Solanum lycopersicum: one gene and its partner. Each later gene encodes a partner of the first gene's protein in a complex. Links are inferred from orthologs where the notes say so. Each region holds a gene or a part of one and is shown on either strand. Other genes may lie near its edges.

Evidence for each region. Proteins that work in one complex are often made in the same cells at the same time.
Region 2: mediator of RNA polymerase II transcription subunit 9 (region 1) and mediator of RNA polymerase II transcription subunit 11 share a complex: the UniProt entries of both Arabidopsis thaliana proteins name them as parts of the mediator complex. The link is inferred for Solanum lycopersicum from reciprocal best matches to the Arabidopsis thaliana genes MED9 and AT3G01435.

Annotation. Positions count from the first base shown.
Region 1 is NC_090801.1:55,595,245-55,607,030, forward strand, and holds mediator of RNA polymerase II transcription subunit 9, read left to right. Parts: upstream 1-4,871; 5' UTR 4,872-5,192; intron 5,193-6,287; 5' UTR 6,288-6,328; coding exon 6,329-6,685; intron 6,686-6,792; coding exon 6,793-6,855; intron 6,856-6,937; coding exon 6,938-7,018; intron 7,019-7,402; coding exon 7,403-7,461; intron 7,462-7,601; coding exon 7,602-7,659; 3' UTR 7,660-7,682; exon of another isoform or gene 7,683-7,970; intron 7,971-9,221; 3' UTR 9,222-9,743; downstream 9,744-11,786. Other genes in the region: TFAM1 (protein LIGHT-DEPENDENT SHORT HYPOCOTYLS 4), read right to left, coding at 1-374; protein POLARALIZATION DURING ASYMMETRIC DIVISION AND REDISTRIBUTION-like, read left to right, coding at 11,188-11,467. UniProt on the Arabidopsis thaliana protein: Component of the Mediator complex, a coactivator involved in the regulated transcription of nearly all RNA polymerase II-dependent genes.
Region 2 is NC_090803.1:5,625,740-5,629,838, reverse strand, and holds the start of mediator of RNA polymerase II transcription subunit 11, read left to right. Parts: upstream 1-1,299; 5' UTR 1,300-1,615; exon of another isoform or gene 1,616-1,620; intron 1,621-2,908; 5' UTR 2,909-2,923; coding exon 2,924-2,977; intron 2,978-3,955; coding exon 3,956-4,072; intron 4,073-4,099. UniProt on the Arabidopsis thaliana protein: Component of the Mediator complex, a coactivator involved in the regulated transcription of nearly all RNA polymerase II-dependent genes.

The DNA of each region.
Region 1 (11,786 bases):
AAAGCAGCGCGTAGCCTCCCAATTAGCGCGTCAAGGCTCCCCCACGCCTGTTTCAACGGGCAATTGCACGGCGCCGGCGGATGAGGATCGCCGAAAAACGGACAATTACAGCTGTGAACTTTCGTTTTTCCGAATTGATCTAGGTATTTTAAGAATTCTAGAATGTTCGCTCCGCTGCATCGCGCAAGTATCAGTGGTGGCTTGTGGTTTCTCAAGTACTGTCCGAATGTGTTCCAGTCTCGCCGTTTTTGTAGCTCGTAACGGCTCACCGTCGGTGGTGACGAAGGCGGCGGTAGTGGTAGTGTCGGCGCCGGCGCCGATGATAGGGAGAAGTTTTGTGAGACGGAATTAATGGTACTATATACGTCTAACATGGCTGTGTTACTTTTGTGTGGGTATTTTTTGAAGTTGTTAAGACTCGCTATATATAGGATGTAAAAGAGTGCAAATAGTTTTACTTCTTATGGGTTCATGATTTGATTCATACCACTCGCGTTAGGGTCCGGTGTACCGGATGAGGTTATTCAAAGTCTCGAATATGAATTTTGGAATTAAAAAAATTATTGATAAGAAGTAGTCGAGTGTTGTTTTTGAATGAAATATAAATTGTATTAATCGAATTCTAATATAAATATAGAAAATAAAAAATAAATTCACTTATCTCATTTAGCTTTTCATTCGGCATCAAGCGGCGTCTAATAGATTCTGTTAATAGAAAGGATATTTGATCCTATAATTTGATGAGAAGACCATATTTAAGTCGAAATATAGTTTAAGGATATATTTTGAGCTATGTATTATTTCGAACAGTTTAAAGATATTTTTAACCCTTTTTGTAGAAAAAATAATTTCCAGAGAAAATATCTCAATTACTTGGGGCTAATTTTGGTATGTTGCGATAAAATTTAGTACAATTTTGTCTCTTGTGTAGTTATTGATTGTAAAAATAAATATATATGAAGGCAAATAATTAGTATCAAGATAAGTTATTTTATTTATAGTAGAATAACATTAGCAAAAATAGTTTTTCGGGTATAAAATAACAAAAATGTCAAAAACATTTTCCAACTAAATAAGGTAAAGGGATATTATTGTAAACAAATCAAATCATTAATAAATAATAATAACAAGATATTTATTTTTTTTAAGCTCTTTATTTCTTTTTTACTCCACAAGTAAAGTTCGTGTATAAGTGTGAATAAATTAAATATATTGTGATTTGGTTCAGAAGATCAAATTATTTAACGTTTAATGTGTAAATTTCCAGAACTTACAAATAAAACTTTGAATTATAGTCTACCTAGTTATGATGGTATTATAACGTGGTAGTAGTATTTATTTCATTAGATCCAATAAATAGCAAAGATTGTTATGCAATATTACCACATAAATTATTATTTAAAGAATTTTAGAAATTCTAATTTTCTTGTACTCATAAAATAAGAAGTAGAAATAGTGAAGGGAGAGTTGCTAGACCATTTATAGGAAAATGTAATGGCCCATAGAGAAGGAACAAAAGAAGATAATGAGACCAATATGAGTTATAATAATATAGTGATATGTATTGTTGAAATATCATCTCGAATTAACACTCATGCTTTAATATGTGCTTCGAACACTCGACTAATTTATTTTATGAAAACAAAATATATGGAAGGATGGGGCCCAAAGAGTGAGGACAAATTAAAGTAATATCACTTCAACTAGTCATGTCAAATGTAACTTCAATTGTTGTCTTATCAGTTTCACCCTTCCTTTTATCCGTGTGACAGTGGGTTAACTTGTATTGACCATTGGAATGTTTCGTGTGGCCGGTAACTTTTTTGTTTCCTCCCTTTGCCTTTTTTATTTTTTATTTTTAACTTTTAGGTGCCACTAGAATTTAGAGCAAATAACAAAACTTGATCCTCTCTACATCTAACGATAACAATAGTTTATTTAAATTAATTTCATATAGTGAAATTCAAAATAAAGTGATGTATACAAATTTTATTTTTATCTCAATATTTCTGACTAGGTAACTTTTTATTTTATAATATATAATTATTGGTAGTATTCATTGTTGGCCTCAGTACGCAGAGTATGTTGTCTTGGTTTTAATCAACATGACTCTTTAGACATCAAAAGTTGTCTTTGAACTTCCAACTTAGTATCAAAAATCACTATGAGTCTATCCGATCAAAATTATCTCATTGGTGAGGCGGAGCTACCGGTATGGAAGGGTGGTCAGCGATCACTGAGTTTTGGCCAAAAATATTTTTTAACTATATGTCAAACTTAAATTATAGCCCTAAAATATCATTTTTAGCAGATAACTATATTCAAAATTAAACTATATCTTTAAAGTATCATTTTCAGCAGAAAACATCCTTTAAGTATTTTTACGTGAACAATTTTCATCCTTTTGTTAGATATTGTCAAAAGATTAAGGGATCTTACGAAAACATGAGCAATTAATGTGACTATCAACAAATTTTATTATGCATAATTTCATTAAATCTACAATAAATTCTTGAAAATATAAAAAATCTTAGACACTGTTGCTTATGAAAACTATAAATGATTAGAAGGTGTGAGCGTACATGATTTGCCTTTTGCGCAACAGAAAGAAGTTGGAGATTAATTATTTTTATCTTTTTCTTAACCAATTAAATTATTAGATTTTTGGGTCAATCTAATATCGAAGTGACCAAAATATTGATTATGTCTTGTATTTGAGTTTCATTCTACATTATTTGAAGGGGAAGTCTCCAAAAAATGTCGCTTCTAGCATATTTAATTGAGAAGAAACTATTTAAATTAATAATATTTTAAATTAAAATTATATGAAAAATGAATGAAAAAGACGGTCAAATTAAAAGATTTTGCATAATTCTTAACTCAATTAAGAAAAAGTTCGCGATAATATTCTTGGCATATATAAGAATAACAATTAGGAAGGGACGGCTTATTTTTTGAGGGATATATCAATTAAGGATGAAAATTATTTACTTTAAAATACTTTAAGGATGTTTTATGATAAGAATATACTTTAAGGCTGTAATTTGAGTTTGAGGTATAGTTTAATGATGATTTTGGCTAAAATTTCAAAATAATTAATCTCCAACCTTTTTCAATTACGGAAAAGGCGAATCATGTACGCTCACACCTTTCAATCATTTTTAATTTCCATAAGCAACAATGTCTAAGATTTTTTATATTTTTCAAGAACTTCTTGTAGAAAATAATGAAATTATACATAATAACTTTTGTTGATAGTCGCGTTAACTGCTCATGTTTTTGTAAGATCCCTTAGTTTTTGACAATATCTAACAAAAGGATGAAAGTTGTTCACTTACAAATACTTAAAGGATGTTTTCTGCTAAAAATGATACTTTAAGAATGTAGCTTAAATTTGGGGTATAGATAAATGATGTTTTATGCTAAAAATAATAATTTAAGGATGTAGTTTAGATTTCGGGTATAGTTAAAAAATGTTTTTGGCCAAATTATACCCTATATATAAATAAAATGCTATATAATATTGCGATATATAATTAATTGAACACCTATGACAAAGTCTATTGGTCTGCTGGTAAGCATGTTCATTTACGTGCAAGAGGTCCTCAGTTGCAACATGTTTTTTAAAACATAAAACACACTCTCTTTTCAATTATGTGTAAGAGATCTGTATTAAGTGACTTATTAGGTATACACATTCTCAAGATTTTATTTTAAAGAAAAAATTAAAGATTATTATTTATTATTATACTTTTGAGTATTTCTAAAGTATCTTTCTATTTAGAAAAAGTAAAATAGTTAAGAATTTGAAAATAGGAGAAAAAAACTCATCATAATCGTGAAAGTCACTCTCAAAAGGCTCATCATAGCCCTTTTTGTGACTCGACTCAAGCTCATCATACATTATTCGATATTTGAACTATTCAGTTATTTAAATTACAAAAAACACTCGACAATTTATTTCATATGAACTAGAGGGAGTATATTTCAAGCAAAAATTATTTTGTGACTTTTGTCCATTAGTTTTGATTTATTCCATCGATAGTTTTATCATTTTAAATTTCCGCAAGATTTAGTTACTAAGTGATGTGTAATTTAATTTCTCACACATTTGCAAAAATAAATTTTGTGTACCCACTTCGCTAAAAAAATTATCGACTCTTTTAAAGTTTGAACAACCTCGGCGAAATTTCTGGCTCCGCCACTATTTGGCGAGTAACATACTCATCATACACTTTCTTGGATATATCGCGTTAATTCATTCATCATCAAGATAAATGATTTTGATCTAAAAGTTGATGTCTGGTGCAACCTCTTCATAGTGGAAAAGTGCTTTTTTTTCTTCTAGGTCTTGACTCCTTCATACATGTCCTTGATCTTCTAAATATACGTCATAGAGTCTGGCATTAATACATACATTTTATGAACCCTAAACACCCAAAGGGACCTCCAAAAAAATTTGGTGTGTGTTTTATAGAGGGTCCCTTTTAGTGTTTAGGGTTTAAAAAGTGTCCGTTTTGATATCAGACTTCTACATACCTCCAATTTCCAAACATCTCCAAAAAACCTCCTTCAAGACTCTGTCTAAAAAACTTTCCAATCAATGAACATCATATGCAAGTTTTTCTATTTGACTGTACTTATTTATCAATCTCTTTATAATGACTTTTGAATACATGTGAAACATGCTTAGATATCAAGTGTATAGAATAAATTATATCTAATTTTGACTCATATGTATCTATTTTGTAAAGTTCTAAGAGAAAATATAATTAGAAAGTATAGTTTCAACCGATAAATAACACAAATGTAAATGTGTGTTTTGTGTTGTTTCCTCTTAATTTAAATACAATTCATTCAAATTTGAATGCACTAGTGATCTACTTTTTTATTAGTTCAATCTATTTCAGTTTGTTAAAATATTAGTTCATATATAAATCAAATCGGTTAATGAAAAGTGAGTTTTATGTATTTTGAATTAGTATTTTAATTATTAAAAATTATCTATTTTTTTTTAATACATACTAAATTTTATACTATAGAAAATGTTAAAATTTCTAAATTAGCTTGTTTGCTCTTGAAATCGAAACCTCCCCACAAATTGGGACAGCGGGAGTAATTTCAATTTTGCTATTTGAAAAAACAGAGGATTTTCCGTTGGGGTTTAACCGGATCGGGCCTTTTCATCTCCGGTAATCTTTCTCGTTTTGTAATTCTCATCGTACTTCTGCTTTGTTATTAACTGTACTAGTTGTGGTTTCAGTAAAGTTTAGCTTCGTATAGTTGTGAATTCATTCTCTTGTGGCGGCTTAAATCAAGGGTTTGGTTGTCAGTGTTATAGCAAACGAAGATTCTGTTCAGAAGATTTAGAGTTCTTTTTTGTTGGAAATTTTGAGGTTGTGATTTTGACCTAAAACTGTTAATTTCATAGATAGAGAGATATTTGTATGTTAGTAATAGGGAACCTCTAGGGTTATGAAAACCTAAATTATTGAATATTGGAATAGATGGGGTTCTAATGGAGAGAATTCATATAGTAAACCCAAACTAATTCGGGATTGAGGCATACTTCTTGATTACTGAGCTAAATTAGAGATAAAGAGTAAGAGGTGCAGTTGGGATTGATTCATTTCTCACTTTAATAACTATCTAATTTTACAGTTTTAGGTTTTGTAAACTTTTTTAGTGCATACTAATAACTATCTACCCTTTTGGTTTGCTTGGGATTGCTAGCTCCTTAGCTTTAGTTTAGGATACTTGTATGAGTGCTGAGATTTTTTTTATGCCCTTCCGAATTAGAGCTAAGCGGTCGCATATTTTGTAATCTGGCATCTACCCGATGCCCATTCAAGGATAATTTTTAACCTTATCAAAAAGACATAGTTGCAGCAGTAATTTTTTCCGATGTACCTATTGATTTAACAATGTGAACACCAAATTTATACAGATGTCATGGTAGTTTTTACTTGGAGATAAGAGTTTACTGTTTGTTAAATTTCAAAGAAGAGTTTACTGTTTGTTACGAGGGATGGGCTTCAGTTTTAGAGGGTCTCACTTGATGGCTTTGTTCTCTTTGGTACAAAAGAACTATTCTTGTAATAAGATGTGGATGAAATGTCATTTAGGAATGATGGGAAATATATTTTTGAAGTGGTTTGTACATTTCAGAATCTTAGGAATTATTTCTCTTTGCTACTCAGTCCATTAGGCCAGTTCATGCTTTGATAGTTTTGGCTATTTGTGTAGTACTTGATTACATCTGATGACATTAATTTTATCCATTTTAGAACCAAAGTACCAACAGATTTCAGCTCAACAGCCATTAGTTATGGACCACTTTGGAGGAGGAAGTTGGACAATGATCCCCAACATCCAAACTCACAGTAATCCTTCGACACCCTCCAATCAAGACAATTTATTTCTTCAGCAACAGCAATTTCAACAACAACAGTTCATTCAACCGCAGCTCTATCAGCAACAACAGCAGCAGCAGCAGCAACAACAACAACGGTATCAACAACAGATGCAACAGCAACAAATGCAGCAGCAGCAACAGATGCAGCAGCAGCAAATGCAGCAACAACAACAACAGCAGCAGCAAATGCAGCAACAACAACAACAGCAGCAGCAGCAACAACAACAACAGCACCACCAATCACTTGCCTCTCACTTCCATCTTTTACAAGTATTGGGCAAAAACCATGATCTGTAGCTTGCTATTTTAATAGAGTAACGAGACATTTCTCTTTCCTAGTGAGACCTTTTGTTCTAACTTTTATTGTCATCTTACAGCTGGTGGAGAATTTAGCTGATACAATTGAAAATGGAAATCGAGATCAGCACTCAGATGCATTGGTTTGTTCATTTCTTGATTGATGCATTATATGTTAGTTTTCCATTTCTTCTACATTAAACCGGGTGTATTTTTCCTCACCAGGTAACTGAATTGAAAAATCAGTTTGAGAAGTGCCAGCAGCTGTTGACATCAATATCAGGGTCTATTAGCTCAAGATCTATGGTATTTCATTTTCACACATATCCTTTGATTTCTGTTGTAACTTGTTCTGAACACACCCCCAACTCAAAAAATAAAAAGAAAAAAGAGAGAGACTCCAACAAAGAGTTAAGCGCAATAATATGAAAACAGAACTTCAAAATTATTCTTTTCTGGAAGAGTTGGATTGTTTTTCTTTTGGCAGTGTTATTGCTTTTAATTGTGCTTTTCCATTTGGGCCTGTTTGTTCAACTTATAGTTGTGAAGAATTTTACTGAAAAGTGGGGTTCAATATGTTTGAAACGATGTTGACTTGAACAAAGTTGCTCCACAAATTCTTATTTGGTTGCATGTTTTGATGCTTAAATATGGGTAAGATAATTGACCAGTCCTGTGTTCTTTGGACAGACAGTTGAGGGACAAAAGCGCAAAAAGGCAGAGTGCGAACAAATGCTAAATCAGCGAAGGTTTGTATTATATATATATAAAACACACACACACACACATATATATATGTGTGTGTGTGTGTGTTTCTAATATTGTCTACTGAAATTTGTATAATTATTATTTGCTTCATCTGATGGTCATGTTTCATGCTTAATTACAGGGATCTTATTTCGAGGTACAAAGGCTCAGTTGAGGAGATTATTAACTCTGAACTATAGCTCATACTCGCATTTTAACCAAGGTAAAATTATGCGCTGCAAGTTGTTTTTGGCCTGCCCAAAAGAAGTTGAGTTGAATCACCTGTCATTTTGATTTTACTAGATGCAAGTGAAACAACTATGCAGTGTTCTGGATGCAGTCAATTTGTAGTTTGTTGTAATACATGAGAATAAAGTGCTCATGAGAAATTTTTATTGATGTTACTGTTGTAATCACTATGGCGCTCGCCACAAATGACTGCTCTGACTGTACTGAGAACATAAAATGTTTTGGGCCAAGGTTATGATAAAGTAATGCATTGCCTTCTTAACTGACTGATTGTATTTAAATCTAATTACATCAAAGTGAAGCAAATAATTGAAGTAACGGTGCTACCCGGGCTCTAGTCAGGCACCTGGATAGCTGATTGTTCAGTTTAATACTTGACTAGAAATAGTCTAAGCATTTAAAGTAATTTAAGTAGCCTGGAGAGTTGATCTTTCCATATATGGACTTTGAGGGCATCCGGGAGTGATCTATGTTACATATCACGTACATCGAGAACTTCCCGAAGACATGGCTTTAGAAAAATGTATGTTTGCCTAAGTTGTTGGGAGATTTGATTTGCTTAAAGATTAATATTTTTGTTACCTTATGTATTTTTTTGAGTTGAATTCAATGCTACATAGAATTCAAATCAGCATTAGGAACTTCACAAATAAGTTGGACATCGCTAGCTATCGAAATATCTAAGTTATTATTTGCATCATTCATAATCTATTCTCAGAAATCGTTAAATATTCATTTAAAGTGCACTTTAACTCTGAAGCTAGGTGAAGTCCGAGTTGGGCGCTTTGCCTTGCTTAATTGACACCTTGGCTCAGGCATCAAGTAGCTAAATAGTGTCCTTGTCATTTTTAGGAAGTTAGACTATAGAGTAAATGTCAACTTAGTTGACGGATTGATACAAAATGCTGTTTTATATATTCTTAATCGTTACGAATAAGAAACTAGAAATTAGAAATACGAAACTAGAAAAGAAGAATAGTTAGTGAAGACTTACAACTGAATTACATCCAAATTAGAAATTCAGTTTCACTTAATCATAGTAGTTCTGTTAAGTTTTCTATCCAAATGATTAGTGTAGTATTATTTTTTGTGTAGTTATTTTTCCTTGCTCTACATATATATTTTTAATATTATTCATCAGTGTTTTTCTTTGCATATGACCTCACTTAAGCTTTTCCTCTCAAGTCCCAACAGATTTTGGTGCTTTTCTACGCGTTTCACCTATAATATCTCTCGATAGTTTCAAATGGAGTATTCCTCTAGTAGCTGGCTCAAATTCTTATTTCAGGATATATTTTGTAATCCATGCTGGATCTGCATACCATCTACTGAAGTAAAACATCTTGAGTCACTAAAATTCCTCTATGCTGGTTCTGAGATCTTGCCATTTTTCTGTTTATATATGTGACAGAACTTGGCTAAAGTGAAATATGAAACATTATCAACAATGATATGACGAAACTTTATTGAACATCTGAATTTTCCCATCTGATGAAACTTTTTCTTGGCACAGGTAAAACACACTAGCAAACTTCTCCGAGCATTAGCATCATCATTGTCATGAGGAATTTGCAGAAGAACATTAAATTCGAGCTAGCGATGATGAATCCTCGAGACTCCATCATCAGATATGTCTTTATCATGTATTTCCTACAAAACCTATTTAGTGTTTTAACCTTGTTTGGATGCAAATGATTGCATCTTCCGCCATTTATTTCTATGAGACTAGACATCTAGAACTGTTTCCTTTTTTGACCTGTTGACTGCCTTAGCTCTATTACAATCATCAAACCTTAATTGGAGTTTGCTGGTACCAATGGTTAGGAAGAGCTACTACACTAGGAAGGCGGCCAAGATAGATGACCTACACACAAAAATTAAATAATTCGTATCGGCATTTATATCAAATCTCTGTATGTATTTGAATGTTCGTTTATAATTGTAAGATGAATGTCATTGATTTGAGCAAATAACAGTCGTTAGAATGGGATTGTTAACTGTGATTTGAATCAAATACTATGAATTACTAATACTATATGCTTTGTGGTCCTTAAAATAGAACAATAATTTATGGTATTATTTAGAGGGTATTGATACTTACCCACCTCAACTACACGAAAACATAATTTCTTTGTACAATTTGACGTCATTTAATTTTAGGTATTAGCACTTTTGACTTCTGTACGAGTGAGAGGAAAAAATAATTCTCTTACCCAAAAAATGCCACATTTTATTAAAGCTTGAAAAGAAAAATTTCGTTGAACTCTTATTTTGGAAAAAGGGTTAAAAAAAATGTCTTTAAACTGTGTGAAAGGAACAAAAACGCTGTTAATTCTTTGGCGCACAAATGCTCTTACTGTCAATACTTTAGTTCAAAAATGCCCTTGCAGTCAATAATACTTTGGTCCATAAATGCCCCAATAGTTACAAAATGAGTCGAAAATGCTTTTTTTCAAATAAATATATTATTATTTTTCTTTTTAAACATATCTTCTTCCTAATTAAAATATTATTAAAGAACACTATTCTTGTTTCTTTCTTCTAAAATCACTTTGACAAATAAAAATGGTTGGAAATATTCTTTTTCTTCTAAGTCTCATTTCATCAATTAAATGGAATAATTTCATGTATCCTTTTGATAAATAATATATGCCATATATATAAATTGATAGTATATCTATCACTAATTTATATTTATATAATAATAAAAAATATTGATGGTAAAATAAAATTTGTTTCATTTTTTTTTTTGAAATAAAGTAAGATAAACATTTGCTATTTTTTTAAAAAAATTAATTGAAAAAAATGTGTCAAAAAGAAAATAATACAATATTTATTTGGAAACTAATTTTTTTGACTCATTAAATAACAATAAGGGCATTTTTGGATCGAAATATTAATGACGAGTATTTTTGGACCAAAATACAAACGAGACATTTTTATTCTTTTTGCGCAATTTAAAGATATTTTTAAATTAAATTATTGACGATAAAGACATTTTTAAGCCAAACTATAAACAAAAGAGAGAATAAACAAAAGAGAGAAGAGAGTACTGTTGCAAAGCAAGTTAAGTTTAAATATAATTCAAAAGCATAAGCTAGGCATTTAATAATTAGTGCTTAAAAATCAAGTAAGGAATGGAATTTTCTTTTTGTTTTTCTCTGCTTTTTTCTTTTGGGTTTAAATAAATATAATAATATTACATTTATGTTTTTTTCCAGCTAATATAAAAATAGAAATTCAAGTAATTTAATGTCATTAATGGAATTTCGGTTGCAGTCAGATATGCTCATAAATTAGTATGTGATGAATCTCGTGAACCTTTCATTTTCAAAAAATTTCCCTCCTTTCACCTCAAAATCAAATCAGTTTTTCGAAAATCGAAAGAATAAGAAGCTGATGAGTTCTCTCCGATCCCCAAAATACATTTAGATTACCACATAAGAGAGTGATTTCAGGTTATAAAACAGTAAATCGTAATGGGAAGTGGCGATGATTATTGCAGTATCTCCATTATCACAGCTAGGGCTTGTACTGAGATTAGAAAAAGAAGATCGGAAACTTGTAGCCGGAGTTTTACTACTTGTATATCGCCGAGATGGATTTTCTCCCGGTGGTTCGAAACAGGGGAGAGAAATAAGGACGCAGAGAAAGTGAATCAGCTTCAATGTGGAAGCACCAGAAATAAGGGGAAGAAGACGAAGAAGAAGAAGGAGACGGGATTTGACACCAAATCATCTACCGCATTGGAAGATCAAGGTAAATGTTCTTCACCTTGATGCTCTGTTTTGGGCTCCCATTAATATGACTTCGAGCTGCATAAAGTTCTTATTAAAACAGTGAAACACTTTCTAATAAAAAAAATTTCATTCTCAAAGTTTGGAAGTTCGAGAATTTTGATTATGAGAAAAAAAAATTATATCTATTTTATCATAATTTTTGATGGTACAGTCTGTTTGAATCATTGTTATTCATTGTTTCAAAATGTATTATATTTTACTGTGTTTGGCTAGACTCTATTGTTCGTTGTTGTTTGATGATATTTTTATTGTATGATTTGACTGCATCATACTGTATT
Region 2 (4,099 bases), on another chromosome or scaffold:
TTCGAAAAATAGATAATAAATAACAAAAATATTCTTCTTCGCAAAAAGATTTCAACAATATTTATCTTTTTACAATATTGATTGAAAATTTGAATATGTATATTTCAAGTGATTAAATTAAAAATATAATTAAATTTTATGTATTAAATGTTTAAAATAGTTTCTCTCTATAAAATAATTTTAATATTAAAAGCACATCGATATTTGTTTTTTTTCGTAATTTGACTTTCAAAAACACTTTTTAAAAAAATTATTCAAACACAAATTGCTTATAAAAACACTTTTTAAAAAAATTAGTCAAACACATATTGCTTATAAAAACACTTTTCAAATGAATTTGCTAAAAAGTTTTTTTAAAAAACTTGTTTTAAGAAAACGTTTTTGAAAATAAATAGTTTTTAGATTAGTATATATTCATTTAATCAGCAAATGTATTTTTAAAGGGAAAATTGTATATAGCAAACTAATAACCTAAAATAAATAGAGTAGGTAGGGTTTGATTTAATTATGCTTCATAGTAAACGTTTGCAAAAAAATTGTCAGGCGCCTCTATCCCAAAAATCTCGTTCGCCACTCTCCTCCAATCTCTCACTCGCTTCCTCACTTTTTACACAAACACAAGTGTATAAAAATTGTTTCTAATTGTATAAAGCAGAGAAAATTGTATAAATACATATATTTTTGTTCCTCTCTCTCCCCTCTTCCAGGTCTCGCTCGCCACTCTCCCAAATCTCGCTCGCCACCCTCGCCTTTCTCACTTATACAAACAAAAGCGAAATGTATAAATTGCGTTTCTGTTTGTATAAAGCATGAGAAAATTGTATATACACATGCAAGTACATATATTTTCGTCCTATACAATTATAATTATACAATAAAAATACCACCCTGCCCAATTTCTTTTGTCTTTCTCTCTTTCTCGTTTTATACAATTCTCAAATTGTATCTAATTTCTCTCTTTCTCGTTTTATACAATTCTATTCAATTGTATATTCCTTGTCAAGTCTTTTTTGTCTTTCTCTTTCTCATTTTATACAAATTCAAATTTTATATAATCGTTCTATACACTTATAATAATGCAATTTGCTTTATACGCTTCGTTTTTATACAGTTCTCTGCCCAAGTGTCTTTCTATTTTTTGTTTTATACACTTCATTTTATACAATTTGCTTCAACTGTATATGTATAGAGAATTATATAGTTTCTATGTGTTAAAGAATGACAAAAAGTCCCACATCGGTGATTAATGAGATGAGTGAACTCCTTATAAGGCTTGAGCAATCCTCCACCCTTTGAGCTAGCTTTTGAGGTGTGAGTTTCCTTTTGAGCTAGCTTTTGGGGTGTGAGTTACGCCTAAGACCTAATTTCACACTATGTTGAATTTTTTGTTTGCTATATCTTTTTTAAAACCTTTATAACATATTAAACAAATAAAAAATTGAAAAAATGTTTTTTTTTAAAAAAAATATGCGTTAATTTAAGCAATATGTTTATTCAATTACATGCTTGTATGATAAAAATAAAAAATAAAAATTACAGGCAACAACTCGGAGCTGAGACTATCTCCGACCACCGGTGACTGCCGTTCTTCTGCCACTCATAGCCGCCGTTGAAGGTAAGGTATGATTGACTTCTCACTTGTAGATGCCGATATCAGACATCTCGCTGGCTCCTTTTTTAATAATAAGAAAAATATTTCGTGCCTGTGCGTCTTATATGTATTTGTATTTGTATCTGAGCTTTGTTTCACTCATGCATGATATGAAATATCGTTGTGCATTTGAGCTGAATTTGGGGCTTTTTGGTTCTTTCGGAGCTTCAGGGATTTGTAATTTGAGGACCTTATTTTTTTGGGTCCTAAATCCACTGCTTGCTTTAGTGGCTGGCTTTAGGGTTGAGCCGCTGCAGTCAGAGATATGAGTGATGAATTCCTCCAAAAAATGGAGAAGAGAGAAGATGACAAAGAGTTAATGAAGTAAGTGGAATATGAAATTAGTGAGGTTTTGAGAGTGTAGGACAAATTTGGAACAGCGAAGAAACATAAGACTATCACTGGTTGCTTGTTTAATAAACTGCAGATCTCAGGTTCAGGGCTATTGAACGATTCGAAAGAGCTCATTCGGAGTTGAGTGAATGGCTACTCCGAGATAGAATTTGAAAAATTGAATTCAAATTTATAAGACTATTGAACAATTAGAAAATTGCAAAAAACGAAATGATTCCATTTGAACAGTAAGGGGTGATTAATCAAGTCTGGCAATGGGTTTGAGTGTCGAAGGAAATAGCCCCTTTGCAGAAATGCTAGAGGAAGACGGTGAAATGTTAGGATTGCTCGTTTGATAATCAGCAGGTCTTGGGGGTAAAGGCGGAGCTAGGATTTGAAGTTTACGGGTTCAGTGTTCTAGTCCTTGATCGTTCGGTATGGGGGATGGAATAGACAAGGATTTCTCTCGTGGGATCAGCTATCCAACTTCTATATGGAATAGCCAATCTCAACATTTTAGAACATATCGCATGAGATTGTTATCCTGCATCTTGCCAACTACACGCAGGATAAAATAATCTCTTATAAATTAATAATTTATACATATTAAATAGATTTCTTAAGACAAATATAGAGTTCAGAGAAAAGTTGTTGATTTCGGCCAAACCCGTACCTTGAAAGAGTGTAGTAGGGTGGTAAGTTTAATGGACATAATACTTATTAGATGTAAGTTTTTCTTCTGTTTTCGGATTGATTACAGAGGATTTAGGTTTCTGATTGTTTAATTATTTGACTGCAAAGATCTCAGAACCAAAATCTCTGAAAACTGCACATAATCAGGTTTTATAGATTCTGTTTATTTCTCCACATCTAGATCGCTCTACGGCATTGCAATTCAGTAATCTTTTTCTCCTGTCCTGACAGCTTCCCTCAGAATACATGGATTCGCAAAGCCAGAATACTTCATTGCAGCGGCTGCAAAATGTTGAGAAGGTAAATGTTTCTACAGGATTATTGACTTAAGATGGGTTGATTTCAGTAGCTGCTATTCTTTGTCATCAAAATACTTAATGTTCTGATTTCAGAATTGATACTACAATATTATTCCTTCCTTGCCCGAGTCCTTGTTACTTGTTCCCCTATCCTGTATACCAAAATGTTTCAAGAAAGAAAGAGAGCGAGGAGAGTACTTTTTGAATTTAGGTGAAATCCATATTTCGTTGATTGGGTGAAACACATAGACAAGCTTGAAGATATATGGATGGTGTTATGCCTCGGTAAGGGACTCCACCATTGAGCTCTCCTAAGCCTTCTGGAGTTCCGGATCCTTCAATTTCTGGGACAACCGGACAAATGAAATGAATGAGAACAAGAGCCGCTTGGCTAGATAACCATGACTAAGAATTTCATGTCACCCACCTAACTGTCAAAATGGGCTGACCCAACCCAACTCAACCCATCCTCAAATCAGCCAAAATAATATAATTCGAAGTCAGAGAATGAAGATGGGAATAGTGTTGAGATGACGACAATGATGAATAAATCAAAGACGCTGTGGACCGAGAATAGGATCTGAAAGGGCTTTTCAAACTTCTGCTTCTGTTGGTTGCTTTCTTCCTGTCTGGCTCATTGAGTATCTTCCACAAACTCCAGGCTGATCTTCAACAGTTGGAAATCAAATCGTATTCGAGATCGTCCTGTCATATGCCCTGAATATCTACTGACACGAGTTTTCTCTGGTCTAACGGAAACAGCATCTCTGTTGTTTCCTAGTCATTGGTTTCTTCAGATTAAAAACGTGGAGATGATATAGCATGTCAAGTGCAAAGGCAACTAATCGTAATTTGATGAGTAAATCACGATCATAACTTTCAATGCGGAGTCAGTAATCACTTTTCTTGATAGAAAAAATTGTAACTGAAACATTACTCTCATACCTTCTGTTGCTGTATCTTCCTCTGATGCTTGCAGAGGATAGTCAGAGTTCTGGAGCTAGCAGGAGGTGTAATGGATGAAATGGCAAATCCGAGCGGCCCCAGGAAGGAGCTTATTAACAACCATTGTAGTGAGTTCATGCAACTAATCAAGGTAAGGACATACTTTACTTCTTTGCAC